Linked DNA regions of Lytechinus pictus. The protein of the gene in region 1 purifies or fractionates together with the protein of each later gene. This does not show direct contact. Links are inferred from orthologs where the notes say so. Each region holds a gene or a part of one and is shown on either strand. Other genes may lie near its edges.

Region 1 (7,553 bases):
GTACAGTCTTTAAAGGAGAATGAAACCCTTGGAGCCAGTTAGCTTTTGTGAAAGCAGAAAAATCAAAGAATAAGATCAACAAAAGTTTGAGTAAAATAGGACTAGCAATAGAAGAGTTATGAGCATTTGAATGTCGAGATCACTAATGCTATGGAGATCCTCCCATTGGCAATGCGACCAAGATCTATGATGTCACAGATGAACAACTCTCTCCTTTTGGACACTGAAAATATACCCCAAAACATCTCTTTTTGCTCATTCTAATCATATGACAAACGATTCATCAATGATATAATGTTGTGAAACCTATGTACTTGTCCTCTCATAAAGAGAACACCTCACCTTGTGATAGATAAAGTGAGAATATAGGTAAAATAAGTACTAAAGTAATGAGGGAGTTGTACGTGTGTGACATCACAGATCTTGGTCGCATTGCCAATGGTAGGATCTACATGGCATTAGTGATCTCAATATTCAAATGCTCATAACTTTCTTATTATTCATTCAATCTTCCTCAAACTTTCAACAATATGTTTATATCATTGATGAATCGTTTGTCATATATGATTAGAATGAGCAAAAAGAGATGTTTTGGGGTATATTTTCAGTGTCCAAATGGGAGAGTTGTACGTGTGTGACATCACAGATCTTGGTCGCATTGCCAATGGGAGGATCTCCATAGCATTAGTGATCTCGACATTCAAATGCTCATAACTCTTTTATTGCTAGTCCTATTTTTCTCAAAGTTTTGTTGATCTTATTCTTTGATTTTTCTGCTTTCACAAAAGCTAACTTGCTCCAAGAGTTTCATTCTCCTTTAATGATCTTTAGAATGTTTGCCACAAATTAGTGAAAGATATTTGTTGAAATATTAAAATTGGGATAGTTTTTATTGTTTGAAAACAAAGTGCGTAGCTTTAGGTCCCCCCATCATACAGTCTTTAAAAGTTTATGGCGGGGTCCGCTATCACCACGAGGTTGAAGAGAAGATTTATATCATTATAAAGGGGGTAAGAGAGTAGCGCAGTGAGCTCCGTCGGTAATACGACCTTTCAAAGTTCACGGCGGCATCCGCTATCACCACGAGGTTGAAAATAAAATGTATATAGGCCTAATCATAAACGATGTAAGAGAGTAACGCAGTGCTAGTGAGCTCCGTCGGTAATATAAGACCTTTCAAAGTTCACGGCGGCATCCGCTATCACCATGAGTTGGAAGAGAAGATATCTATCCTCTTAGTCTTATACATCGCCATAGATAATACCGCGTCTTTCTCCCTGAAAAATTAGTAGAACATGTATTGTATTTGTAACGTCGTTAGAAACAAAAATCATACCATGATTTTTTAAAAATCTTATCCAAAAAATAGTATTAGTACCGGTATGGCCTAACGTTAGGCTTCATTATAAAAATATTTACCAGTATATTATTATCAATATTAGGCCCTAAATCTACTTACATTGTCAACTCCATGTTCAAGCAGCCGCACGCGTGTTTTGGAATCTTCAATGTGAGGAGCAGCCATGATATGACTGATGATGGATGATCGGCCGACTACAACATAGATCTGTGAAACACGTGCTCGAAGATACGCACCAGATCAGAGCAGCGGATCCTTGCTGGGTCTACTACCCGATTGAGGCCGGTGTAGCGGCGGATTTGGTTCCACCGGCGGATACCGTATCCGCCGGCAGATATCGTTCTTAATGGCCGATATCGTTTTTAATCGGAACCATATCCGCCGGGTTTGACGCGGCTTGATGTTTGCAGATTTGGTTCCTCGGCGGATTTGGTTCTATTGATTATACGTGTAATATTGATTTGGACAGACAACCTCGGCAGCGCGCGCATGCGCGGCTCGGCAATGTCGATCGCAGGGGGGGATTTTCGTCCGCCTTTAGTGAATTTTTATTCAGGGGCGGATCCATACAGCTTTTGACAAAGGGCTCGATGGGGGTGAGGATTAATAGGAGAAATAATGTCTCGATATGTATTACGTAGACCTAGCTGACACACCATACAACTATGCTATTTATTATTATAAGATTTTGATGAAATTTTCATCATTTTGTTTTGTGAATTTTTATACTATTTTCAGTCCGCAGTATGCATCGATCTCTTTAACTGTGCTTTTTCACACCATGTTTAGTGTCAGTTTGCCAGACTGTTTGGCGAAAATTTGCACCCCCATATAGGCCTATAGGTTTTTGAAACTACAAATTTTTAGAAAAATTTCAACAAGTTAAAATTTTCATATTTCAAATAAATGATTCAAATTAGTGTATGAAAATATTTTTTTTGCTGTTAACTCATATTATTGCTTGTAGAATGCTAATTTTTGGTGAAAACAAAATTTTTTTATTTCTAACAAACATAAAAGGAATGTCAGAACATGATTAATTTCTTATGTAGTTTATTGAAGGCCTATCTTTAAATTTTCATGTATTTTTTTTAATTTGTTTTTTTTTTTATTCTTTTTTTTTCAATGTTAAGGAATCTGAATTAATTTATTTGATTTGATTTGATTTATTGTTTTTTCTGCATCCATGGAACATTCGTATAATACATTTTCCATAACATAATAAACATAATATTATGTTAGCATTTTTGGCATGAATCATAAATAAAGTGTACTAAAAAAATTATTCCAGACAAAAATGATTAACTAACAAATTATTATATGATATTCACAATTTGCAGGAGAAGGATTGTCATCATAAGCAGATTGCTTGAAGAAAAATGACAATCCCAAACTAAAACTAATTAAATTAATTTATGCATTTATAAAGCAGAATTGGCATATATATTTTTAAATACGAAACATCAACTCATGCAATATTTTTAGTATGAAGATGAAGATGATAAAGGTGAGGGTGACGGTGATATGATGATGATGATGATGATTGAAGGGGACCGGAAGATCACCCTGACAAAAGTTAGATACGCCACGTACTGTTTGGTGCTCCCTAATTTACCTCTCAGTCATCAAATTTTAAGATCAATATGGGATCTTTAGTGAAATATAATTTCTCCTTTATATCTTTTGTTTCTTTTACTTAACTCCTCCTGGTTTTCATCTCTTTATTTTTTTTGCCTTTCTTTCTGTCCCTGCTCATTTCGCCCCTTTTGCCTCTTTTCCAGTTTCCTATATCGTTCTTGCACATTATGAATATATCTGGGGCGTATACGCGAGGGTAATATAGCACAAAAAATGAGAAATATAAAGAGGAAGGGGAGGGAGAGAAAAATAGAAAAAATATACGAGAAAATGTGGAGGAAATAATAATAATACATTGTAATTTCGTAATTCAAGAATTTCATTTGCAGTGATCATTATTTATACAAATTTATACAAATACTGATTTTAATTATCGAAACTGCCATTGTTTGTCTTTATTTAATACTCTGTATTAATCATAATTGATGCATATTGTGCCCAATTTATCCCCAAAATTGTGATAAGAAGGACTTTTCATACTGCAATAAATTAATAGGTATAAAATAAATTAACAAATGCATGTTATTAGACTACAAGCATTATCATATCATGGGGTAAATTCTTTGTATACTAGTAGTGCAGTAGACATTGAAAGTTGAATGAAGACTAAATGTGGACTATTTAAAGACCCAGACCAAACCCCAAAAGTTGACAAATCAGTCAAATCGAAAGCTATTAATTCAAACTAAAAACAGAAATGCAAGTTTTATGCAGTCATCGCTTACAGCTGAATATTTTGCTTAAGAATAACTCCAATTATCAGGTTTCGAAAATATACTTTCTTGTAAATATGCTTTCACCGGCCTCGCACCGAGACCGTGACGTCATGTAGTGTTAGAAGTGGTGTAATTCCCGTAGAGTTGTAACAAGAAAATGGGTTATTTTCCCCTTTCAGATTACGCATTTTATTTCTTCACTTCTATCACATAGAGATATCATGAATATATTTTTCTGCAAGCTTTAATTGATGAAATCTACCGCTTTTTGACTAGTTTTCTCGTACCACGTGACGTATGTGAATGAAGGATATCGCAAGAACGATATCTTCCGAAGAGAGTGGCCTTTCTTGGTACTGAATCCGCCGGAGGAGAACCATATCCGCCGGCGGATTTGGTGCCTAGAACAGTATCTGCCAGGCGCAGGATCCGCCGGTACACCGGCCGCGCCGGGGCCAAGCGCTTGAACTAGCTTCCCGGCTTCGCTAGTGCTCGCACCGGCTCGCACGGTAGTACACCAGAAAGGGGGAGGGGGCCGGGGCCGTGGGGGGGGGGGGGGAACTCGGAGGCTGGGAATTGGATAGGAAGAGTCCATTATATTAGAGGTTAAAAACTTCCAATGCAAAATAGGCATCTATTTAAAAGTTATATATTTGATTGATGATAGCAGGTATCTTCGACTGCTTAACTACTAAATGTATCGATTTTGTCATTCTCAAACTAAGGAGTAATATTGACACTAGTAATGTAGATTATTAAAAAAAAAAAATCATTTTCGCATGGTACAGAACCGTACCGTACCCCATATCAAAGTAATCAATCACCTTTCCATTTCCGGACTGATTCCGAGACGCCCTCCGATTGACAGAGCAGAAAGAATAATGGTAATTGTCTTCTTTTGTGGTAGTTTTGGACATTACAAAACATAGTTTCTTGTTTGATGTCGGTTAAAGTTATTTTTACATTAATTTTAGTCCAAATTTGATTGCTCTGTTGAAGTATTTGCCAACTTTATTTTCCCCGATTTTATTAAATGGCCCCACACGTTCGATTTTGTGTAGCCTACCTAGCCTGGAGGCTTCTGGATCTGGGGAGTAAAAGTCATCTACTATATGTAGGCTTACTCAGCCAGGCGGCTTCTAGAGAGTAAAAATCATTTACTAACGTAAGGTTACTCTCATACGAAGCCAGGCCTTCTATCTCATAGACCCACACAAAGCTAGGAAGCCAAAACCTGAAACTTTCACCCACGAGATTTCTACTTTCCTTCTTCTAAATCTAAGTTCTAAAAAGATCTAGCTCTAAGTACAATAAGAAACAAGATGGCGGCGTAAACATCGGGCAAGTCTCTTCCGTCTTTTCACAATATTTTTTCATTTTTTTGATGAATTCTTGTTTTAAAAATAACAACGAGAGCGTAGAAATGTCGGAAATGAAGTTTTATCCCATTTACATGATTTAGAGCTAGATCTTGTTTTAGAAGGAAAGTAGGAATCTCGGGGGCGAAAGTTTCAGGGTTTCTTGCGGTACACGCAGATGAATGGGGAGGACTGCCTGGCTTCGTATGAGAGTAACCTTACGTTAGTAAATGATTTTTACTCTCTAGACATGCTAGAAGCCGCCTGGCTAGCCGAGGGATCATTCCTCTCTGTAGAGGCTAGGATTTCCCACGGTTACAGTAGATCTAAATCACAGATTGTATAAATCGTTTTGAGCCCGAACTAAAGTAAATGGGCCAAAACAATATCCCCCCCCCCCCCGAATTAACCCAGGGAGCCCAGGGGCTTGCCGTGTATTTGACCATACTCACGGGACTAGGGTGATTTATGGTCTAAATATTTCTCCAAATGAATTGTGAAAACAGAAAGTATACAATTACCACGATTATATGGATGACGGTAAGTTTCCTGACATCTGGGCAAAGACTGGAACCTCAAAAAACGAAAAGTTCTCTCCTTCTACCCCAGTCTCGATCGGCCATTTTGTTACGATTTTTAACAAAAATGGCCGATCGAGACGGGGGTAGAAGGCAGTGGCGTAACAGGCGGGGGGGGGGGGGGCAGGGGGGGGCAAGTTGCCCCCCTGGTGGATTTAATCGCGAAAATAAAATAAAAACGGGAAAAAGAAAAAAAGGAGGGAGAAAGAAAAGGAAAGGTATAGGGAAAAGGGAAAAGAAACGAAGAAAAAACATTTTTTTAATGGAAAAGGAAGGAAAGTGGGAAAATGTACGAAAGAACATTTGAGAACAAATCATTCTGAAATACGCCTATGTAATGCAAAAGCACGGTGGGAAATAAATTAAAAGATGACAAAATGGCAAACAATAGGGGGAAACGAAGGTAGAATGTAATTAGTCAAAAGCTAAATTGGAAAACAAAGAAAAGGGACAAGAAAAGAAGAAAGAAAGATGGACTGGATACAACGTTGTGCTATAAGCTTGCTAAATTTTATGCAAATAAGCTTCCGGGGTCTTGCTCCTGACCCCACGTAGTAAGGGCTCTTCATTTATAACCTTCATATAACGCCCCCCGTTCATCCACGTTCAATAACCACTGGCATACCGGCGCGGAGGGGGGGTCTTGGTTCCACACCCAAGAGGAAATAAAATAAATTATAGGAGACAACATATAATGAAATTAATGGAACCAATGAAATGTGTTATTTGCTGAATATAATGGAAAAATCTATCACATAATTATAATTTAATTTCAATGGGCAATTTTTTTCCAGCTCGCTTTGCACACTGGCGACTTTTTATAAATTTTTCCCACATTGCTAAGTTTTGCCCCTCAAAACATTTGGTTCATCACGCAACTGGGTTAAATAAATGTGTTGTGTAAAAGCTACATTCTGTATATGCCCGCGATTTGATTAAAATGGCGGCAATCTGCGAGGTTTAAATGGCTTTGATATCAAGAAGTTCTGGGGGTTCCGCCCCAGACCCCAACCGCACAGTACTGCGTATGGAAGGGTTGGGCCATGGCCCCAAAAATTTTTACAGACAAGAACAAAAACAGGAGGAAAGAAAATCAAAGGAAAAGTGTAGTATATGATTTAATTTACTGAACTTAATGTGAAAAAATAGCTCAAAGTTAGATTCTCATGAAAAGGTGATTTTTTCTCGCTCGCTTCGCTTGCTCGGGACTTATAAAAAGCAGCTTTTTAGCACATGTGTTATACTGCGCCCCTCACATTTTTTTGGTTACTCTTCACGCTACTGCCGCAAAGAATCATGTTCACAGTGGCGTACAGACCACAAAAATGGAATCTAAAGAGAGAAGAGTAAAATATATTATTTTCTGGATATCATGTCAAAATCTATAACAAAATTGGATTTTTGTATCAAAAAGCTCATTACACCATTACGCCTGTTCATACCATGATATGACCGGGAAATTTTGGGCTCTTGCCCCCCCTGGCCACCGGTAGAAGGAGAGAACTTTTCGTTTTTTTGAGGTTCCAGTCTGTGCCCAGATGTCAGGAAACTGCCACTCGTTAGACCTTCATCCATATAATCGTGGTAATTGTATACTTTCTGTTTTCACAATTCATTTGGAGAAATATTTAGACCAAAATCACCCTAGTCCCGTGAGTATGGTCAAATACACGGTAAGCCCCTGGGCTCCCTGGGTTACCCCCGAATTTGATATTTTTGATTAATTTTTTTCTCAATAAATAGTGTGAAATTTAAAGAAATTTAAGAGCACGAGAGTTCACTTACCCAGTCTGTTATGGTCGCCATCTTGAAGTCTTTGTTATTGATACCTAGATACCACACGCGTGTATAGCCGCCAACTTAGATTTTAAAAATACTTGCATTGGCCGAAAATATTATAAAT
Region 2 (8,275 bases), on another chromosome or scaffold:
AATGTCATGACTTTCTTATTTTACATCCGATTTCGATGAAATTTGCAGCGTTAGGTTTGTTTGATTTTTTTCTATCGATTCAAATCAACGATTTTCTGGGGTGGACTTGACCTTTAATATATATTGTAAATCAACCATTAGAATTGGGACAGTACTGGTAGGCTTCATGCCACAGAATTCAGTTAACTTTTACTGTCCCTGGCGTTCCAATGGTTGATATTTCTTAGTTTGTATTGCTAATACTGAAATGTATTTTTGTATTATCTGCCGAATAAATTAATAACAATAATAATAATAATTTTGGGATCCAACTCACCAACTCCTTGAGCTAGAACCTCACAGCGATGGAGATCTTCACAATCACAGTCCATTCCTGTAGCCCTACCAATGTAATGAAGGATGGCCTGCTGCTGGACCATAGATACACCTGATGATGTCAAAATAGCAGGTACTACATAGGAAAGAGAGGTGTATGAAGAGGCAATGTTATTTTCTATGTAGCGGGCGGGGTGTAAGTGATCACTAATAAAAATAGCTATAAAAATAGTGCACTATTCCATCATTGACATCACGGAATAGCAATTTTTCTTCAGTGGGCGTTTCATTTTCAACGTCATCACAAACGAGTGAGCATATGTTTGGTCATGTGATGCTAAAACCAATCAGCATACATGATTTAAATTATGTAGGATATAAAAGATGATATACAACACTTTCTTTTTTCCGAACTGCTTGGTAGTTTCACAGAGATCACACAGAGTGCACATCTCATGCTTGAGTGAACCCTAAACTTCAAACCTTGATTTCTCCTTATTCTTTGAATCATCAATGGATTTTTCTACATTTAATCAAGTATATTAATGGGCTACTGTTCATCAATTTGACAAGTTATTGTTTCAAAGCTTAGGATGTGCTTTTTCAAGCTCAATGAAATTCTCAAAATTAAATTTGGGCGACTTAAAGATAAATTCCAGTTTTGGTAACGATCTAAAAATGACTTTTTACAGAATCTAATATAATGACCACCTAAGTGTCTGTTTGTATGAATAAAAAATATGTGCCAAAGGATTCTGGAAGAAATTGTGTAATTGCTGAGAAATAAGCAAAATAAGCGCGGATTCGGTCACTTCCGTCGGGTCTTTATTTTAGCAATAATAATACACTGTCCCACGTGTGCCTATCTGTGTTGGTGATCTTCAGTGTGAACATTTTTCAGCGTAGATTTCAAGATTTCACAAAGTTCAGTTTATGTAACTGTACCAGATCTAGATCCTCGATGATATACTGACAATTAAGCCTTGTTTTACAGACTTTCTCATGAAATCAGTGTTTACTGCAAATACTGGAATTTCTCTTTAATGTTGGTTTTAAGATGGTTGGTCACAATCTCCTTTTAAAACAAAATTCTCCATTATGATAGAAGGAACCTATCAAGTGTTAACAGAATGGTATTTTCTTCCAAAGGTTAACCTGACCAGGGGGGTGTTTCACAAAGATTTAAGTATGGCTTATTAAAGTCGCACTTAAATACAGACGCGTACATGATATGCAACGCGCAATCTTATTGATCAATACGCAGTAGTGCCCGTCCTTTTGGCAGGATCTGACCAATGCGGGCATGCCTTTGTACCGCGCACAACTAGACATTTCAGTGCGACTCTAAGTGATACTTAAATCTTTGTGAAACATCCCCCAGTACTCATTGCAAGACTACAATACAAGTAGATGATAAGCATTCCATCTCCTCAACATCTTATCATCATTTTGAAATCAGAGACCAGGGCCTGACCTTTACTTTTTTTTTAGGGAGCCAGCCGGGCTCCTCAACCACTTTTTTAGGGAGCCCGCAAGGGGTTCAGGGAGCCCAAGTTTATCACATTTTTTTGGGGGTCATAACAATGGTCAGTATTAAAACACACCAACACAATTCCTTGTTTTTATAATCATCAATACCAGGTGTATTATTATTAAGTAAATGTGAGGATTAACTGAACTGAAGAATTAATCTTACAGCAATTGACTTTTGTGAAGCCCTTTTGCTACAGTAACAGTCTAACATTGGACTTCAGGTTTTATCAGAATGAGATATAGCACAGGATAAGTCACTCTTCCTAGCTTGTCTGTTCAAATTTATATTCATTCAATCTTCAATATTGCTCAACAGATTGAGCAAGCAATAATTAATATCATTTGCAGAGAGGAAAATAAATGACAAAAACTATTGAAAATGCATTTAACCACTGACTAGGAATACACTTTTCTTTCAGAACCTTCGCAAAATATGATATTTTCATCCTTTGCTCAATCTGTTTCATTGCATATTCAATTTCCACTCAAATCGACATTCATCTCATCCATTATTTCAAAATAGACATCTTTGTTTACATCAAACTCAGCCACAGGCACTAGGAATGCCCAAGGGGCTCATACAATGACCCCTGCCATGGGGACATACCATTGTAACCAAGCAACACAGGCTCAATGTTGACAGTTACGAGGTCACTCACTGTTTTTATGAATGAACTTTCTTGGCTGATACTAGAAAAACTTAAGGAGCAAGCCGGGCATTTTGATTTACTTTCTAAGGAGCCCGCCAAGGTTTTAGGGAGCCAATTGCCACCGGGCTCCCGCTAAAGTCGAGCCCTGGAGACACATCAGGGTTAACCAATATTAAAAAATGACAATAAAATAACAAAGATCTTTTGAGAATAACATGTTCACATTGCACCTTATACCCTTCATATGAGTTCCAAAAAATATCAAAACATTTTGATGCTGAATGGAGTTAAGCGGTGGGGGAGGAAAATATGAAATTACCTTGTCCATAGGTGTATAGGCCTTGTTCTACTCCTGCTTTCTTGGCTTCAGGCCAAGTTTCTCGGGTAAAGTCTGTCTGATTATAAGGTACATTGGCTTGCTTCAGCAGGAGTCGAATAGCTTCTGCTCGACCTCGACCAGCGAAATAGTGTATGGTGACAAAACCAAGGTCTTCGGCCGGCACACATCCTGCCTTGCCTGTAGCTATTTCTTGAAGTTTTCTAAGTTTGAAGAGAAATAAAAGTCTTTGGAATGAATGTACATGCAATTAGTATGGCTGAGTAATAAAAGCAGGATTTAGATTTATCTTTCAAAAATCAGAATCTGGTATTCCAGTAAAAAAAAAGAAGTTGAGAAGTGGAAATGATGTGCTATCATCACATGCATGGTCAAATCTCTTTTGCCTTATAGTCAAAATGCTACAACTAACAAGGGAGACATCATACACAGATGTATGAAAATATAAAATAATTATTTCTTGTAATACAGAAAAAGGAAAGTAGCTCATTAGCCCATGTAATGAATATTTATGAAGGTGTGTATCTGACAGTTTTCATAAAATATTGCTGAACTTTTATCTAAAGTTTTCAGCATTTTGCTTGGTGAATTTTACTTTTTATTTTACTTAGATTTTATTTTCAGCCCTTAGTACCTCTGTTGACTTGTTAAAATGAAATGAAATAAAGTTCTATTGATTTCTCTATTTTAGAAGGGATTTGACTGTTGTCTTAAGTTTATGAAGCACATACCATAGATCTGTAAAGGTAAACAAAATTAAATAAAGGGGAAGTTGACCCTGCTGACAAGTTTGTTAATGGTATTAAGGGATGATGAAAATCCATCGAAGAATGAGAGATAAATCTAGTCAGCGTGTGAAGTTTTTAATTTGTGAAGTCATATATGAGCAGCTAAAACTAATTATTACGATTGTTGAAACTTGAAAGTAATTGTACGGATGTGTTAGATTGCAACATCAGCGCGCAAAGGGTTAATGAAATATTAAAAGAATTATTTTCTTATAGGAGGCATATGATGAAATATCCACAAATACCAATATACCTAAAAATTTCAAAATCGATTTATTAAGAAAATGAATTAGTTTACAATTTTGTGGAATTTATTAATAGAGCTGCTTGTCTGTGATGTCACGTCACGTCACAATAACAATTATGCAGAGCAATTAGCATAACTTGTCATGTTATTCTAATTATTTTCTTTAGAAAGTTTAGTTTGAATTTAAACCTCGCAGTTTCAACTTTCACCAATCCAGATCTATGACATACACGCCGTCAGTCTCAGAACCCAAGTTCTCAATCAAGTCCAACTCCAAGACGTGTATTTCAATTTCAATTTTATGGCTTCAGTTCAGTTTAAAAAATAATAAACATGGCATGGGTAGCGGTAGACAGCTGGCAGCCGTCTGTTTCGAGGAGTTTTTAACTTTTTTTAATTTGTTTATTTCTCCTCGTATTTGGTGAGTGAAGCCAACGGAGTTCAGCTGAACAACCAACATAACAGAGACCGAAGCTTTTGGTTTTGGCAGGTTTGGTCTAGGGTAGCGGGGCTTAACTTAAGTTTTAATCTTTTCTGTAATCCCGACTAAGAGTAAGACTAAGTTAATCCCAACAAACATGACAAACAACTAACTTAAGCTTGATCTACATAAAACTTTTGCATTCATTGACATGACATTGCTTTGCATGAAGTTAAATTACAAGTGGCCAATGGCAATGGCCTGAGCTGTGGCCTGTGCCCGAGCTGTCTGGCTGTACTGCTGGTGGTACCGGTATTTCGGTAGCTGGTGGTGTACGGTGTCTAACTCGAACGTCTCCGGGCCGGTCCTGGCTGCAGCTGCACTGAATCTGCGCTCCAACAAAGTCTGCGGATCTTAAACCCTTCGACTCGGGCAACCAGTTTACTAAGCTCAGTAACTTACTTACCGCATCATCATACCACTTTTACCCGTGAGGTAAATAGTGCCTAATGCAGCAATAATTATAGCGCCAAACTGGAGCCCATCCATGGTCAAATTGATGATTTAAATTAAGCCGAGCCCAAGTTGTTCAACTTCAATTCTGCCTGACTGTAGAGATTCCACCGCAGCTGGCGCTGCTACACATTTATTAATTTGACCGAGCGATCAAGATGGCTACGTTCCCGTCGATCAGCCAGGTAGGATACTGAGTATTAAAGTTGTTTTTTATTCAATATATAGTTTGAATTATAAATATTAAGAGGAATCGACCAATTTATGAATTGTTATATTTTAGGAATATGAGGCTAAATACCATTAATGTATACTTATATAAATGTTATTGTTACTTAAATCTCGACGTCACATGTCTCTTGAGCGAGTTGAGCTGAATAAAGGCGATTGTCGTTTGTTCGGATTTCACGTGAGAACTCACGGGGTAGTGGCCGACGGACAGTGGGCAGCAAACCTGCCCTGCCCACTCTTTGTCCACCGCACACCCTAATTCAGCCAATTTCAGGTCAACCTGGCTCTTTCCTCGTTCTTCTGTTTAAATTCTAGTACAGACCACCTTTTTGTGTATTGTATTGTTTAAGCAGAAGGAAAGAAGAAGAAAGGAAGGAGAGAGGAGAACTTGAGAAGATACATGTAGGAAAGAAGAAGCAGAACAAGAAGAGGAGGGAGAAGAAGGGTGGAAAGGAGAAAAAAGAGGAGGAGGATGAAGAGATTTAGAAAGAGGTGGGGAAGGAAGAGGAGTAGATCTACAGAGCAGGAGAAAATTGAAGAGAGGGCAGGGAGCTTTGACTTATTTTGAGAAAGAGTAGAAACATGAGGAGGAAAAGAAATACATTGCAAGAAGTCAGAAGAAGATACTTTAGATAGAGATGAAATCATTCAATTGTTACTTTAAGTCAAAGTATAATTTCTCATAAATATATTAAAATTTCACCACAAATAGAACTCTACACACATGGATTCTATAAAATATAAGATGTAAAAATTAGCCAAAATCAATTTTCTTCTTACAATCATTTTCCGTTCGCACCCCTCTTCCCATTTGAAATGTATTGCTCACTTGAAAAGGCAAACATGTATTTTCTGTGCAAAAAGTTTGAAAATCAACAATATCACTGATCAATCAGCTCTTTGACTTTGTTATCTAAAAAAAATAAAGACTGAAAATATGCTTTTGACATCTTTCACTGTCTTTCTATTTGAATTCCCCCTTTTTTGCTTTGGAAGGAAAGTTTTCACATGCAATTATTTTTTATGCATTCAGTAATACAAGGTTCACCGGGGTCTGGGGTTCTGATGTACAAGCAGAAAATTTTACTTGTATTATTTGTATCCTGCCTTCCTGTATTTGATCACCATGTTTGACAAGTTCATGTGACTTAGACTTTGACATGACTTTTGAGATATACATTTATCTTTAAATACATGTATTGCTATGTAATATTAGAATGTAATTATGATATTTTGTTAATTTTAAATCCAATGTTGCTGCCCACTGGGTTGGCCACCCTATGGTGGCACTGGTTTGTAATATTGATGCTGCTGACTACAGAATTGGTCAAATCATTTTAATTTTGTCTGCAATCTCAACAGCATGTATGTGTTAAACTCTTCATAATGGAATAGAATTCTGGAAAATTGTTTGAATGAAAAAAGAGAAGGTTGTATGGAGAAAAAGAAGATAGATAATAATAAAATCCTGCTTCAGTTGATTTGAATGCTAACTTATAAATACATGAAGAGGTGATTCTCATTTTTTATGTGTAAATCTCCTAGGAGATTAAAGGAGAGGAGAAGGAGATGAAGAGGATAAAAAGAAGAAGAGGAGAAAGGATGTTTTTTAATGCAGCAAAAATGAAAAGGTTTCCTATATCGAATGATATTTTATTGTAACCAAGTACATTTGTAAACATCTCAGAAAAGGGATTTGTTGTGAATGACAAGTTGCATATATGTTTCTCCATGAGTTGTATTTCTATTTGAAATTCTTTGTATTGAACATGTATGTGTTGATGCTTGTGTTTTGTTGTGAATGACAAGTTGCATATATGTTCACCCCCTCAAATTTAAATGGGTTTGAATGCAAATTCTCCATGAGTTGTATTTCTATTTGAAATTCTTTGTATTGAACATGTATGTGTTGATGCTTGTGTTTTGTTGTGAATGACAAGTTGCATATGTTCACCCCCTCAAATTTAAATGGGTTTGAATGCAAATTCTCCATGAGTTGTATTTCTATTTGAAATTATTTGTATTGAACATGTATGTGTTGATGCTTGTGTTTTGTTTTATGCTCGGGGGAGGGGGATTAAGGAAGAACCACACAGGTTTTAAAGACCAATTTGTTTATTTTTCAGAAATTTGAATTTTCATTACACTGAATATTACAGTTTAGCAATCCATCTTGATTTTGAAAAAATACAAATTGTTTTGAGTCGGCTGTTATCACACAGCTGCTTGTGCATTACTTCATTAAAGCTCATCGTTATCTGTATGCAAAATACATGTAACTTGTGCTCTATTATAAAAGAAATCTACCTGTAAAGGTCTAATCCAAGCAAGGTTGTACAAAAATATCAAAGAAGACAATTTTAAATGTGAACAAGGATTAAGAAAGTTATGGAAGTATGAAGACTAATCACCTCTTAAAGTTTTAAGTCCTCATTTCATGATCACAAGTATCAGCAAATGCCAAATGGATGAGGGTAATTTTAGTTTACTAGACCAAGGTCAGATGTCAGGTTGAGGTCAGTAAACTGGTATCAACTTCAAACCTAATGAAAAGCTAAGATCTTGAATTCTAAATACACTGTATTATTTTGAAATCAAAGTCTTCATTATAAGGTGAACATGGATACATGTATATTGGTTTAACATGAATCATCAATTACTGTTTACAATTTACAAGAGTATACTGTTAGGTTTCTTGGCTAAAATCGAAGGTCATTTCGGATCGATGAGCTGATATAACTTTCTACATTAAAAAAAAAGTAATATGTTACACAGCCAAAAGGTGTACAAAGTCATTCATAGGTATTAAAAAACAACAATTACAATTTAAATAGGTACATGTGACATAGTTATCAAGCAATTTTAAATAGGAATTCAGTAAAACATAATAAAATAGAATGCAAAAAAAAATACATACCAATTCCAAAATGATGTATTAAATATTAGATGATTGAAAATTAAAATATACCTTGTTCATTATTTTAAAACTTAAAGAAAAACTTGTGTGAGATGGTCATTGGATATATCATTCCTAGGACTTCGAGATAAAATGAACAATATCAAATTTTTTTTTTTTATACTTATTTTGAAAAAAATATTCATAACAATTTGTTTGCATACATTCCAGAAAGCTCGTATTGAAAAAGCCAATATGAGTGACATTGTCCTTTCATAGCCTTGGATTTTATTAAAAGGGTATAAAATAAAATAAAAATGTTTGATTGATTTAATTTCTGTGTT
Region 3 (7,595 bases), on another chromosome or scaffold:
AAAAAAATCAATTTTTAGGTGTCATATAAACCAAATAATGAATTTTTTTTCATTCCTGCGATGGACAGAATACTTCATTTGGTGAAAGATGAAATAATGATCCATTCAACTCGGCTACGCCTTGTTGAATGGATCATTTCATCTTTTACCTCATGAAGTATTCTGTCCATTGCACTCATAAACATTCATTTTTTGTATAATATACACAGAGAAATCCCTACCTACAGTATACCTTTAAAAGTACTCCAGAATTTTGTTTTAAGTGGCCAACAAGTATTAAAATATCAATGAACATTCTGATAAAGATCTGAAGAGCACCCACTCTTCAAACCAATACCTGTTTTCATGTACCATTTACAATGTATGCCTACTTGTACATGTTATTTACTCAAAAGGCATTTATTGTTATATTGACTTAATATTGACTTCATAAAATACTACAGAGAAAAAAAATCACGATCAGTTTTTATAAATGAGATATTGACAAATCAGAATGCATGTGAAGAAGATCGAATCTTATTTTTCTTTTGCATCAATGGCACAAAACTCACTTGGCAAACAGGCATACATTGTAATGTCATATACTATACAGTGCATGTACATGTACATGTACAAGTAGATCAATGATCCTGTGCATTGCCATTGAACAAAAGTGCATATTTAGGAGAAGAGCGAAAAATTGCAGACATCGTACTATAAGGCCCTGCATGAGTATTAAAATCTTCAGGCTTTATATTTACATGTTTGTCCTAGTATGCATGTACAATCTTGTATATTAAAATAGGCAGTGCATCTTTCTGATAAAAATTCAGGAAACGCACCAAATGTAATTTTCAGTCTTATTGAAGAGCGGTCTCGTTCGTTCGCAGACGAGTTATTTGTGCATGAGATAAGCTTAGGAGTGAGTCACTGTATTAGCACTGACAGACACAGTCAGCAAGAGAATGGCCTAGACGCAATTTCTATCAAACAGACAGAGAGAATTATCATACATGTATAAAATGTCATGTTGAGAATACCCAATTTCTGTGATAATCTAGACGTGTATATATTACAAGCAAAATGTCCAAATATTGTATATGTGTACATTGTACACACAGTGGCTTAAATGTACGGTATTCTAATTATTGACAATAATTTTGTGAAAAAATATGTGAGTTACTATTAAAGATGTTCTCCAAAAATGGTGTGAATTACAATTAAAGAAACAAAAATAGCACTAGATGTACTCCTTTGAAAAGAATGTAGGTTCTCAGAAAACCCATTGTAGCATCTGTAAAAACACAACAAAAAACAAACCAAAAATGGATGCTTCACATTATTTAGATATCAATTTAAAAGGTCAAGTTCACCCCAGAATAATGTTGATTTGAATAAATAGAGAAAAGTCAAACTAGCAAAACGCTGAAAATTTCACCAAAATCTGAGTTAAAATACATGTAAGAATTTTATGACATTTAAAAATTTTGCTTATTTTTCACAACAGTAATATGCACAACTCAAATGAGACAGTCGATGATGTCCCTCACTCACTAATTTCTTTTGTTTTTTATTGTTTGAATTATACAATATTTAATTTTTTTAAGATTTGACAAGGGGACCAACTTGACTGAATCATATAGTATTAAACAATGCTCATTCCACGTGTTCAAGGAGGAATTAGTCTTTGTTTCAATTGACAATGAGGAGAAAAAAAGAATATTCCATATTTCATATAATAAAATACAAAAGAAATAGTGAGTGGATGACGTTATCAATCTCATCATTTGCATACTCACCAGGATGTGCAATACAAACTGTTTTGAGAAATTAAGCAAAACTTTATTAAAAATGTCATAACTTTCTTATTTTACGTCCGATTTTAATGAAATTTTCAGTGTTATGCTTGTTGGATTTTTCTCTTTTTATTGAAATCAACTTTTTGTTGGGGTGGACTTGTCCTTTAAAGTGAGGTGAAATAATATTTATGTAATTTATTGGTATACAGAGTTAAAAGGATTGATTTTAAAAGCTGTTGGTGAATCAGACCTGTTTAAAAAAAAAAACCTGTTTGGGGTTTCAATCTTTACTTTAGATCTGTCTGGTAATACATTAGAACAAAAATCCAGATTTTACCTGACATACACGTAGCTATGATAAGAAACAACATTTTTATTTGATTGTTTTGTTCCAGGCTTATTTGCAAGAATTGAAATAAATAGGAAATTTTTATTGATTGAGAGTATTTTCAAGAAGTTGAAAATGTACGCTCTACTTCCAATTTTTAAATTTCATGTTCTTGGCACTTAGGAGCGTGAGTTTGAATCCATTAAAATGGGCAGTTGCCAATCTCAGACAGAAAGCATTCCTAGCTTTGTTCGAGTTTGATGGTACATAGGCTATGTAATTGAAGTTTTATAGTATCTCTTGCAAGGAATGGGGTTAAATATGGGCTTCATAAAACTGAGACACTTTAAAAAAAAAAATCAATAACCGCAAGTATCACCTAGTCCGCAGGCACAGACCCTGATTGCAACTTTGATCAACAAGTGTGCCAACACGCAGACTAGCACATATATACAAAACTTGCTGTTCCTGAGTGAGAGGGCCTTCAGTACATAAGGCATGAGTAGGCTGCACATTCAGACCCTTTACTCGAGTGAAGGGTTTGCACAGCAGACTAAGTATCACCCACAGGGCAAGATACTAGAAAAGTGAAATTAAAGCCAGTATACACCACAACCACTTCAAACAACACCAGCTCAAGACCAAAATTGGATCCTTACCCAGGGTGCAATGTTTTGATGTGTTTTCTATTATTATTCATACCTGATAAAAAAGGAACTTTTATCTTCTATTTCCAACATTCATATTACAATATATACCAACATGTACATGTATGCCAAAAAAAATGCATTTATATGAAATTAACATTATAGTATTTATACATGTAATTTTAAATTCTTGACTCAGTCACTTGGTTGAGAAAAAATGCAGGTGAACTTGCATAATTGACCTTTCATATTAAAGTCACAGAAAAACTTAATAAAAAAATGTAAGACAATTCTGTAGACCAAATTACTAGGCAAAACATTATATGTTATAATTATATACAGGTTTCTCGAATTGTGAATAGATTTGACTTACTTTATACTAGGCAAAGTTACCTGTTGATGTAATAGACCCCGAAGTGTAATATATCTTTGCTATTGATCAGAGTATAAAAGGAAGTTGTCCTATGTTTAATAGGTCATGTGATAGATCTAGGTCGTATAACACAAGTCTCATTAAAAGATATCTGATACAGATATAAAGGTAAATAAAGAAGTGTGATGACGTGAAGATGTGTTTAGACTCCTCATGAAGACATGATGATCCATACATGATAAATACAAAGTTACAAACTATAATAAAAGAAGAGTCATGATAAGGTGTGTTCAGACTCCTCATGGAGACGTGAACCATATCGTGCAATAAGTACAGGCCTGCCAACTACAGTAGTTGGCCTATGACTTTATGGTATTTCATATACATGTACTTTTTGGTGAAAATAAGTATGAATAATAAATAAAATGTGAACACATACTTGTGTCTTAACCAGATATTGTGGTTTTATTATGTGGGCTGTGAGACTTTCCCACTTCCTTTTTTTTCATTTCACCTCCCTGCTATGATAAAGTATCTTTAGTTATCTTTCACGTTACATTGAGCCCAAATTCTCTATTTAGAAATCCCTGGAAAAGTTCTCGTAGTTTTGAATATTTACAGACTAAATTTGCCAAGTCAGATCTTTTGGGACCAGGGGGGTGTTTCACAAAGATTTAAGTATGACTTAGTGTCGCACTTAAATACCGAGTTGCGTACGGTATGAAAGGCTTGACCGCATTGGTCAGATCGTTGCATATCATGTACGCGTCGGCATTTAAGTGCGACTTGAGTCATACTTAAATCTTTGTGAAACACCCCCCAGGAGGCCGTTTCATAAAACTGTTCGTAAGTTAAGAGCAACTTTGAGAACGACTTTCGAACCTTTCTTTCATGCTAAATAATCACTAAATGAAATTTAATGTTGAAAACCACAAGAAATGATCACCAGTCATTCTTAAAGTTGCTCTTAACTTACGAACAGCTTTATAAAATGGCCCTTAATTTGACTGTTCAGAGAAATTTTAAGAATAAACACAATTTTTGTATGATCCAGTCCAAGACATTACTTTTGACCTGGGAGAGAATCTGACTTTTTAAATGCAAGTTTATCTATATGCCTACTACATGTGTTCTGCAGGTTTAATTTTCTTTTTAGAACATTTGCAGTAGGGCCTACATGTCGTTTGTTTTCTTAATAGTGCCCCCCCCAAAAAAAAATTTTGTATTTTCCAGAATAGGTTAGTGTGAAAGCGTCACGTCACTGTAGACAACATACATTTTTTTAAATTAGCTTAAATCTTTCAAATTGGCCATTTTTTTCATGAACATGAAAGTAATTTTCAACTTGGTCCAGTGATCACCCAAGTGACAGTCCTTCAGCATTGATTACTCTTGACCAGTATCTTATCACAGGTAGCCATTTTCCTCTTCCTTCTCCTCAACTTCCTCCAACCGCAGACTCGTTGGAACTCCATTGAGCAATAAACACAAGGCAATTTCCTCACTTCTCGGGATGTGATTAGATAGAGATATATGATGATAAGAAGAAGCGGAAATTTGGGATTGCTTTATTCGCCTCGTTCTGTATAAAGCTGGTAGTCAGTTCAATATCTCTACCATTTTCGGGCAAAAAAGGTTATTGTTGGGGGAGGGGCAAGGCTTATTGGTATTTAAATCCATTACAACATCTTGAAGACCTCAGCTTGAATCTGCAGGGATACCCAACTGATCATATGTCATAGCCAAAGGCTTTGCCAGGTGCAATATTCTTTCATGTATTAAAGCAGGAACATGCCCCGATTTTCTGTCAATGGTCAAAACAGTTGGAATACAGTTCTTTAAGACAATTTCCACACTAGAATGTGAATCATGAGTATGTACATACACCCCGCGTCACCACACAGCTGTTGGAGTTGAGCATGACAAAATACTTTTTGAAATATTTGATGTAAAATAATATCATATTCAGACACACCTTCCATCTTTTAAACATGATGGAAAGTGTTCTGCTACTTAACTCTTCTGTATTGTTTGTGTTAGTTCAGATTTTATACCCCTTTCATAAACCCAATTATGCGGCTAATAGCAGCATAATTTGGTCGTAAAATCGGAGGAGGACCAGAGTTATCCGCATTATTTTTATGCTGCAATTATCCGCATAATAGCGGCATCGGGACCAGATTTTGACTTTATGAACGCATTTTCAAATAATGCGGATAATTGCCATGGTGCGGTCACAAGGTCACCCTTTTCCAACACAACCTCATCGTAGGTGGCGTGTGCAGTTGTCATTACGATTATCCGCCTTTTTCAGGACGGGCGCTCGTAAAAATAGTGCGGAGTATTTTCGGAGTTTGTGAACGCAATTTTTATTGAATTATCCGCATTACTCTTAGGCGGCTAATTGGAGGATGGGTTTATGAAAGGGGTATTAGTCATGGCGATTTGAAAGCTGTTTATTACCTCTCAAAATATGTGTACTTGTACTCATGATTGTACATTTATGATATGTACTTATCAGCAAAAACTGAATTAGGAGGAATTCACCCCTGCTGTAAATAATTGGACTTTGATTCATAAAAAGGGTACATTTGACTCGATTTTGAACAGGTACATGTACATGGACATTTTTCTTTTTTAGTTTTTATGCTGGAAATGTCAGACAGGATGCAAATCTTCAGAATACTATACACTGTGACTCTTAATAAAGGAAACCAAAACACAAGGAGAGAATCCATCTAATCAGAAAGAATGAATTGAGAAGAGCAATCTAAAACTTGTTTCATCAAAATCGGTTATAAAATAAGCGAGTTATTGAAGTTTGAAAAGTCTTGTTCTTTCCATGGGGATCCTCAAATTGGCAAACATGCTTCAAAATGGCTGATTTTGTGGACAACTCTCCATTCATTTTGTTCACAAATTGTCAGATTCTCCTCTTTATTTGACATATTTCACATTATTTCCTCCTGACCTTGACATGATACGATGTGAATTATATTTTCCCATGACATATGTTATGCTCAGAAGGAGGCAGATGCAATTTGAAAGATAATGGGGAAAAACTGAAAACTTGTACACAAAACAAAAAGAGAGTTGTCCACAAAATCTGCGATTCTGAAGCATGGTGGCCAAGTGGATCCCCATAGAAAGTACATCAAGACTTTTTAAACACCCATAACTTGCTTTTTAATATTTTATCACCAATTTTGATGAAACTTGTTTTAAATTGATCCTCTCATTTTACTTTTTCCAATAAGATTGCATCTCTTCTTGGGTTTTGGTTTCCTTAAACTGAAATATATCGCCTATACCATAAAACCTTGACTCCGTCAATTCAATTGATTTATTTTATTTTTGTTCTATTTCTCCTATCAAGGTCGCTTATCGAGGATACGTACCACAAGAGTGTCAGCAAATTGGCTAAATCTACCAGTAATTATTCTCAGCTTGGGTAAGTGAGTGCAACGGTTAATTGTGAGCCCTTGTCTCCTGTTTATGATCTTTGCTAAGAGCCTCGTAATGATGCCGCTTCTGCTCCTTTCCCTAATTTATTTGTAAGTCATGATAAGCTCAGCCCTGACGTGGGTTAATTAAAAAACTGTTGTGGAGTTTTCTACTAATTTAATCATCATTGTTTCTTTGCAGAGCTCGAAGCCTAGAACATCATTTGTTTTCAGTGAAGGTGTATATTAGTGAATTCCCTTTAAGCACCATGTAGCAAATTATTTCATTATCCCATATAGCGTAAACATCAGTTCCATTTTGAAATTCGTAGATTAAGTTGTTAATACCTGAGTTGAGTGTGGTTTAACCTGTAACTAAAGTTATGGAAAGTGCACCTAGTAGTTTATTGTATGTCATCTAGTAAAAACTATAGAGCAGCTCTATGTTGATGCTTCATAATGATGATGATAATGATGGTAAAAATGATGATAATGGTATAATGATAATAATATTACGCATCATAATGCATGTAGGTATCATCTTTTACAAGGCGCACTATTAGTATTAATCCCCAGCTTTTGCTTGAGCTGCTACATTCAGCGCTCAGTGCATTCTAGAAGTTAATCCTGCTAGGTACCCATTTACCTCTCCTGGGTTGAGTGCAGCACAAATTGATAAATTTCTTGCTGAAGGCTGGAATTCAAACCCTCGACCATCTGTATGTGAACGTCGGACCATGTGGCTACTACACCTCCAAATGCGCACACATGTTCATTTGACTTTTTAAAATTCACTCTTCTGCTGGTAACCAGGGCCCTGTCTTACAAAGAGTTACGATTGATCCAATCTATCGTAACTCTATGGAAATTCATCAGTGTCATAATTTTATTCTACAGGAAATTTGCAAAAAGTCATTTGTAAACAAAGAGAAGCATAGTGAATTTGAAAGAAAACAATGAATGCATGAATATACATCATAGTTAGAAAATATTTGAGCAAACATGAATAATAGATGATGACGTTGC
Region 4 (7,481 bases), on another chromosome or scaffold:
ATTGGCTTTTAACGTGTGAAAGAAGCTATTGAAAATCAGGGATGCGGATTACGAGCGTACGCCGTGTTATGTGCGCATTACGTGCGGGGAGAGAAGGGACGCGCTGTTAGCTAGAAAACAAAAACACGTGGTGAGTCCTTAACTTTTTAAGGGGGAAATGCATGTGAGTGTGTCACTTACATAATTCACAGCGTGAATTGATTTTAGGATTCTAGGATGGCTCATATAAAGAAGTTGAAAACATCAAAGATCACTTCTTTTTTCAAGCATAATGAGAAAGAAGAACGTGATGACGAACAGCCGTCTACATCAAAATCGGATGATGTCGGAGATAGGCCTGTTCAGAAGAAAGTGCCGTTGAGGGTGATGGAGCATTTTCATTCATAACCACATACCCATATCAAGACAACAAAGACTATACCTGCGTGTACACAGTTGACATTGGTTTTTTTTCTGAAGAGGTGTAACAGCAAAATTCACAGAGATAAATAAATACGTAGTGCGGTTCAATATGCAATACTATGTGTCAGTCCATTCTGTATTCGTATGCCACGGTGTGTAGATCTTGTCGATGTATGTCTGTCCATTCAAGGCGTAGTATGTGTGTGGTGCGCGCACCCGTGTGTGTGAGGGTGTGTGTGTGTGTAAGGGTGTGTGTGTGTGTGAGTATGTGTGTGTGTGCGTGCGCGCTTGTGTGTGTTATTTTACCTCATTAAGTATGCATCAGATTGCACGATTTCAAGTTCAAAATTGCAAAAGCTCCCTACCGTGGGAGGGGCGACACCCCCCTCCCACACCCTCCCCCCGCTCGGTCACTTCGCTCCCTCGCTCGGGCGCTTCGCGCCCTCACTAGCGTTGGCAGCCCAGTCATCCCCCCCAGGTGTACGAAATTGTCTACGCCACTGAATGTGCATGCTCGTACCATAACATTATAAATATACTAAAACACAAAATCTATTTATACATGTACAGCCATTCTTCAAGCACTTTTTAATACATGATGAATAAAACAAGAAGAAAAATGATACAGATCAGTAGCACCTGACTTTGACAATACGTAGAAGAATGGAACATTTGGCAAGAGAAGTTTAATTGTTCCAGGCAGAAGCCTGCAAGCTTCTTACTTGAAAAATCAAGGCGATTGAAAGGATTAATTGGCCCACAAAACAGATGATGACAAGCACCCTTAACGTAATCTGTATATTCAAAGATTAATGGTATACCATGTTTATTTGTGCACGAATTTTGAATGATTCATGAATGCAAATTTTATGAGGTCAATGTACTGTTTTATGTGTTCTCAGACAGGCTACAAAATGTGTCGAGAAATAATCTGCATGTGAATTTCTCAACAAATTAGATAAGGTACCTTTAAAATTCTGGCAGCAGTGGATAGTCTAAAATAAGGAGGTAAATTTTCTACAGTGATGATGAACTTTCATGATTGTACGTATGCATGGAGGCTACAAACTGTATTGACATACTGACAAATTAAAACTGTATACATTCTTGGTAATTTTTAGCGAACATATAGTGTCAATTAAGTTTGAGTACTTGATACTTAACAAATTAAAGCCCTTGCCTCTACAAATCCATGTTTGTTTCTTCTGTTTTTGTTTAATGCTTGTTTGGAAGGACCACTCTACACCTGAATTTTCTTATTTTTAGCAGAGGTACATGTAAATGTACAACTCATATCTGAGATTTTAATGAAAAAAAAGAATGTCCCCCCATCACATTCACTTGCCTCCGGCAAGCTGGTTTGTTGTGCCTTAAAGCCTTTCCAGGTGTTCTCTTTAAAGCAGTGGATATGTAGCTACAGAGCACTTTATTCTTTTTTAAAGTTGCACTTTTTTAATAGAAAACACCATGACCATATAATATATTGTCTAAAAATGCAATTTACAGTATCATCTCCATGAAATGACCAAACAAAGATGCACTCAATTTTTTTTTTTTTTTTTTTTTTTTTGGGGGGGGGGGATGAATCTAAAGCACCAATCCAGATATACATGTATGTTTTGAAATAAAACATTTTTTTTAATACATATTTTTTCAAATTTATCCAACAATTTTATAAAAATGCCAAGATATATTATAGGCAGGCACATGGTTGTTTCCAATAGATTTAGAACAAAGACATAATTCTCAAATATGTTTAGGAAAATCCTGAGCCTTAGGATAGATTCAAAATCATAGTGATACAAGTAGCCTATTGTTTATTAATTCAATTGTACTACGTGTGTGAGCTCTAAAATTGTCTGAACTCTGTTCTTTATCTGTAAATCTAAATCCAGAAAAAAATGGATTACTGAAGATGCATGTGTGTACTGAATCGCTTTCCACAGAACCTTTCTTCTGTATTGATGGCTTTCATGTAGGATTTGCATCCTAGATACTTTACTTGTGGCCAAGGGGGAGACATCTGTCTGCATAATTGTGCACTGGACAAGATCAATGTCAGAATATTCTAACCAAATTTGCTATTCACTGACCAAGGCATTGAATAGTAAAAATATTGCACCTTACTGCTCAGGGCAACAGATGCATACCACATTTACAGTAGCATGAAGAGTGGCACTTAAAAGATTTTCTTCAGTCTTTTTAAAAGGATTAACATTGGAAACGGCACATATTCAATAAGCTTTGAGGCTCTGTTTACTTTCAGAAGTTACTTTATTGGAGACATACATATTTGTACATGTAGTGCAATTGCATTCATTGTTCTATTACATGTATCATAATCATTATTAGTTTACCAAATTGTTTTGAAAGAAATTAGGAAATCAAGTTTTCTGAATAGTAATGTTCACAAACGGGATTTCAATATTTTTAGGGCATTACCACAATACCACGAGGCAAATTTCAATAATGAAAATTCAATTGTTGGGGAATAAAATAAGGCACAAGAAATCTCCAAGGACAGTCAGTGGGTATCCGCGGCCACAGCCATCGATAGCTTTCAATTTTTTTAGGCTTATATAATTCAAGCCCTGCAAACATTACTACATGATGTACATGTATGTACCCTGTATGATGTAGGCTTTCATGTCTACAATAGATGCAATATAAATTTAGGTCTTTGAATTAGGCTTACGTGGGCAATATTGCAAGCTGGTTGCATAATATACATGTAAATCCTCCAATATCTCCACACTATCTACAAATATATTGCAAGATCACATGGACAAACTGATCAATGTCTGAAGGTCATCTTTTTTATAATACAGTTAGTGAAGATATCTGGTTCAGGAAAACACCCTGTGTGTGTGGCATACGGTTATGAGTCACCACCCTGGCAATGTAATGTACAATGTATTGTTATTAGACTGGGACAGCTTACAATGTGGCGCAGTAAAGAACATGGAATGCACAGTAGACAGGCCAAACTTGAAGTGGGGGTGGGGTCATACATTCATGTACATGGTATATACTGTAGTGCCTGCATCCCACTTCTGTAGTAAACGTCCCCTGCAAACTGTGAAACAATATGTTTTTGTTACAGAGAGTCAGAGGCAAAACAAAAGGAATGTACAATGTATTGTTTGTATACCTGGGACATCAAAAACAGTATGCATTTACAATGTACAGTAGTTCAGTATTGATGCACACATTATCCAGGCCAGTATGAATGCTTTACTCACGTGACACAATGCCTGCTTCCAAGCTCAGAGAAAACACAAAATTAATTCATATGACGGAGATGAAACAAAAGGATAGCGCAGGAAAAGCATTTTAGCTTTCTTCTATTTGCCCTTCATCAGAAACATCTAAAGACAGACTGCAGGGAAAATCAGAGCGATATAGCTCCTAACATAATAAAAAAAGCCCTGGAAACTAATAAAAAGAGCTCTCGAATCAATTAAAAAGAGCGCTGGAAAATCCCCATTCATTACAATGAGCTACATGTAAGTGAATATTGTAGATTTATACAGTAAGTTGTAAACAGAAGCCGCCGAAAATAACAGATGCATTGTGAATCATACTGTCTTCCTGGAAGTCTGCACACGAATATGAAGTTCCCTAGACACTGTTTTTCTCTGAGTAATAGATTATAGTTCCCAATACCTACATTTTCTAAGACTGCATTTTGAGGTTTTGTGAGGCACATCCAAACAAATTATTATTCAAGTACCCCCCCCCCCCCTGCTACCATCATTACCAGGTCCCTCGGACAGGACAAAAGCCTTTGGTTCTCTGATTGCTGCATGTAGCTACATGTATGCAAGCATTCATGTTTTCTTTTTATAGCCATCAGGTAAAAATTATATTAGTACCACCATTTGTACGGATCATGTTTGGTTTTGTGTGTACAGAGCACTGGCCCCGTCTTACAAAGAGTTACGATTGATCCGATCAATCCCAAGTATATGGAAATTCATCAATGTCATAATTTTTCTTTAGGAAATTTACTCAATGTCTTTTGAAAACAACTAGCATACTGAATTGTCAAGAAAACAGTGAATGTATGAATGTACATCATTTCTAGAAAATATTTTGAACAAACATGCAATTTTAGATGTTGACGTTGCTGGCTGTCCATAGTTGTGTTTGATCGGATCGATCGCAACTCTTTGTAAGACGGGGCCCAGGTCAGCCAACCAGTAAGATTTTAATAGATTTAAAAGATTTTTTTTTTCTTTCAAATTAGCAAAATTAAAGCAAAAGTCAGATTATTTGAAGTATGAGTCATATACTTTTGATAGTGTGTACATGTAATTGCCCCAAATAAGATTTGTTTTTTTGTTTCAATAGGATTTTTAATTTCTAAAAAATTCATATCTCCATTTACAAAAATGAGTACAAAGTTTCCCTTTCTTTTAATAGCGATGTCGTTTTCAGTTTTCTTGTTACTCATTAAGTATTAAAGGGTTTTATCCCTTTTTCATTGATTCTGCAGGTGGGTTTGCCCTGGTCTTCCTGGTCAAAGGTCGCAATGGAGTACACTACGCCCTCAAGAGGATGTTTGTCAACAACGAGCAGGATTTGGTCGTCTGCAAGAGAGAGATCAAGATCATGGTAAGAAAGGAGAAGTTGGCCTCTCTTCTTCCATTTTTTTCTGCCAATAATACATAAAGTATGGTTGATTCCTCATCTTCAAGATGTGAAAACAATATCATACATGTACATGTATGTAATTCAATGAAAACGCCTTTACTGTCGGGTCTTTAAAAAAAAATTATTTCTCTCTTCCTTTGCTCTCTCTCTCTCGAGTAAAATCCATTACCATAAAAGTGCATATTCTTGGGGCCATGTTGCACTAATTCGATTATGATAGAACAATCAATTTTACCACAAAACACAGTTTTGCCCCCTAGTATTCTGCGCAGTTGAAAGGCACATGTATATGCAATCAGACAGTACATTGAGCCCAAAAAAATGAAGGTGGTATAAATTTTGATTTTTATTTGAATAAATTTTTGATGAAATCTTTTCAGAATGAAATGAAATATAAATCTTGCAATACTACACACACATTTCGTATGAGAGATCCTCTGTTCCACACTCTTCAAACATGGCTTTTTAAAAAGTCTCCCCCACAGAGATTACCTGTACACTGTGTGTAGCGTGGTATAATTTTTTTTTTTCCTTCAAAATTTTCTTGTAAACTTATGAAAACTTTAACAATATTTTGTTATGTACAGTTGAGGACAAAAGTTTACATGTACCCATGGAATTCAGTGAAATTCGTCATGATAGCACAAATATTTTATACATGTAAGATACAATAAATTTTATGATGTTTGGCAAGTGTCAACTTTTCTTCGAATTTCCTGGGTGTATGAAACTCTTGGCCTCAATTGTACTGCTTTTTTTCTGTTTGAAAGATTTCCAAGTCTTGATCATTACATGAAGAAATTATTATTATACCCACATGTTTATTTCAGGGAGAAGCTATCGTAACAAAACTGCTTTTACTCTGAATGTTTTATTATACTGTATGCTGAGCAAAAACTCTTGGATCAATAGAAAAAAAATCCACAAACCTGCCATCATGAAAGAAGTAACGGGGGGGGGGGGGGGGTTTGAATAGAATCACACTTGATTTTCGTCAGATACATGTATATCTTTGCTCGATAAAGTCATACATTGTACATCAAAACTCGGTCTTTATAAATTTCTCCTCAATTTCTTGTAGTGTGAATGGGTTGCCTATTAATGTTTCGCAAATCTGTTAGTATGTGCTTCCAGGCAAACAGGACAGCTTGAGCCTGGGTATCTTGGGAAATGTCTTTTCATGAAACCTGAACTGTTTTTCTTCCCTCCCCACCCTTCTCTCTGTCTCTGTCTCTCTCTATCTTTCCCTGTCTCTCTACATCTTTCTCTGTCTCTATATATCTTTCTCTGTCTCTCTATATCTTTCTTTGTCTCTCTATATGTTTCCCTGTCTCTCTATATCTTTCCCTGTCTCTCTATATCTTTCTGTCACTCTCACGCTTTTTCTCTGGATATGTATGTTTATATATCTCCTGGTGTCTTTCTCTTTCCATCTCTATTTTTCTCTCCGGCTCTCTCTCTCTATTTCTTGATCTAGTCTACACTGTCGGGTCACAAGAACATTGTGCCCTATGTCGATTCCAGCATCACACGCAGCAACAGTGGAGTCTATGAAGTCCTCATTTTGATGGAGTATTGTAGAGGTAAGCCAATTTTTTTTTGCTATTACCTTACCTGCTGTGGGAGATTAAAGGGGGAAGTCCACTCTGACAGGTTGGTTTTAATCATAAAAAAAGAGTGGTTTATTGTTTTAACAAATTCAATTGTACATAGTCAAGAGTGACTCTTTTCTATGCGAGTATGGCCCTCCTTTTTTACATTTGTTTTTGCGGGTTGACAAATTGCATCCTTTTGGAAGGTTGTGTATTCCATGTTTTATTTTGCATGTATATTTCATATCGTTTAGTATTTTTTCATATTCATTTTTATCATTACTTTTCCTTATAATGAGGCCCAGTTGCGGACCGTGACCCGGAGGAGACAATGATTGGAGGGGCACTGTATTGTTTGTGAACAATGCTGTGCCCCTCCAATGCTTTGTCTCCTCCGGGTCACGGTCTGCCACTGATGAGGCCTATTACTTTTTATCATTACTTTCGTATAATTTTTTAGGGGGGCGTGTAGCAACTTGTCAGAAATTTCTGAAGTTAATCGACTATATTCACGCCCCTGCCATTTATGAAAAGCTAGATCCATCCATGTGGTGCACTATTTCAACAATTTAAATAAATATTTTAATTGACCTAATTTGTATTGAAATTACTTTGGAAAAACTGAAACTTTGACCTATAATTTACAAGGGTAACAAAACTGTACCTTGGCAATTCCATAAAATATGTACGTCCGACTCCCTATATGTGGGACTTTAAAGAATTTTTCTGTCTCTGATTTCTTGTTCTTTTGACAGTTTGTAATGCTCTCAAATGACCATGACTTGGTCGGTTTATGAAGTGAAATAAAACTTGAGAAAATGGGGGTTGGAC

Evidence for each region.
Region 2: the proteins of AP-2 complex subunit sigma (region 1) and epidermal growth factor receptor substrate 15-like 1 purify together in Homo sapiens (affinity purification with mass spectrometry; 4 studies listed by BioGRID and IntAct, counting the BioPlex papers as one, with this or other methods). This does not show direct contact. The link is inferred for Lytechinus pictus from reciprocal best matches to the Homo sapiens genes AP2S1 and EPS15L1.
Region 3: the proteins of AP-2 complex subunit sigma (region 1) and F-BAR domain only protein 2-like purify together in Homo sapiens (co-immunoprecipitation; 3 studies listed by BioGRID and IntAct, counting the BioPlex papers as one, with this or other methods). This does not show direct contact. The link is inferred for Lytechinus pictus from reciprocal best matches to the Homo sapiens genes AP2S1 and FCHO2.
Region 4: the proteins of AP-2 complex subunit sigma (region 1) and BMP-2-inducible protein kinase-like purify together in Homo sapiens (affinity purification with mass spectrometry; 4 studies listed by BioGRID and IntAct, counting the BioPlex papers as one, with this or other methods). This does not show direct contact. The link is inferred for Lytechinus pictus from reciprocal best matches to the Homo sapiens genes AP2S1 and BMP2K.

Annotation. Positions count from the first base shown.
Region 1 is NC_087251.1:7,257,664-7,265,216, forward strand, and holds the start of AP-2 complex subunit sigma, read left to right. Parts: upstream 1-4,092; 5' UTR 4,093-4,493; coding exon 4,494-4,598; intron 4,599-7,553. UniProt on the Homo sapiens protein: Component of the adaptor protein complex 2 (AP-2). Adaptor protein complexes function in protein transport via transport vesicles in different membrane traffic pathways.
Region 2 is NC_087255.1:17,855,228-17,863,502, reverse strand, and holds the start of epidermal growth factor receptor substrate 15-like 1, read left to right. Parts: upstream 1-4,933; 5' UTR 4,934-4,962; coding exon 4,963-4,989; intron 4,990-8,275. Other genes in the region: glutathione S-transferase P-like, read right to left, coding at 317-451, 2,818-3,038, 4,758-4,840.
Region 3 is NC_087255.1:23,487,930-23,495,524, reverse strand, and holds the start of F-BAR domain only protein 2-like, read left to right. Parts: upstream 1-4,303; coding exon 4,304-4,308; intron 4,309-6,502; coding exon 6,503-6,577; intron 6,578-7,595. UniProt on the Homo sapiens protein: Functions in an early step of clathrin-mediated endocytosis. Has both a membrane binding/bending activity and the ability to recruit proteins essential to the formation of functional clathrin-coated pits.
Region 4 is NC_087262.1:11,854,173-11,861,653, forward strand, and holds the start of BMP-2-inducible protein kinase-like, read left to right. Parts: upstream 1-4,351; 5' UTR 4,352-4,962; coding exon 4,963-5,019; intron 5,020-6,535; coding exon 6,536-6,641; intron 6,642-7,481. UniProt on the Homo sapiens protein: May be involved in osteoblast differentiation.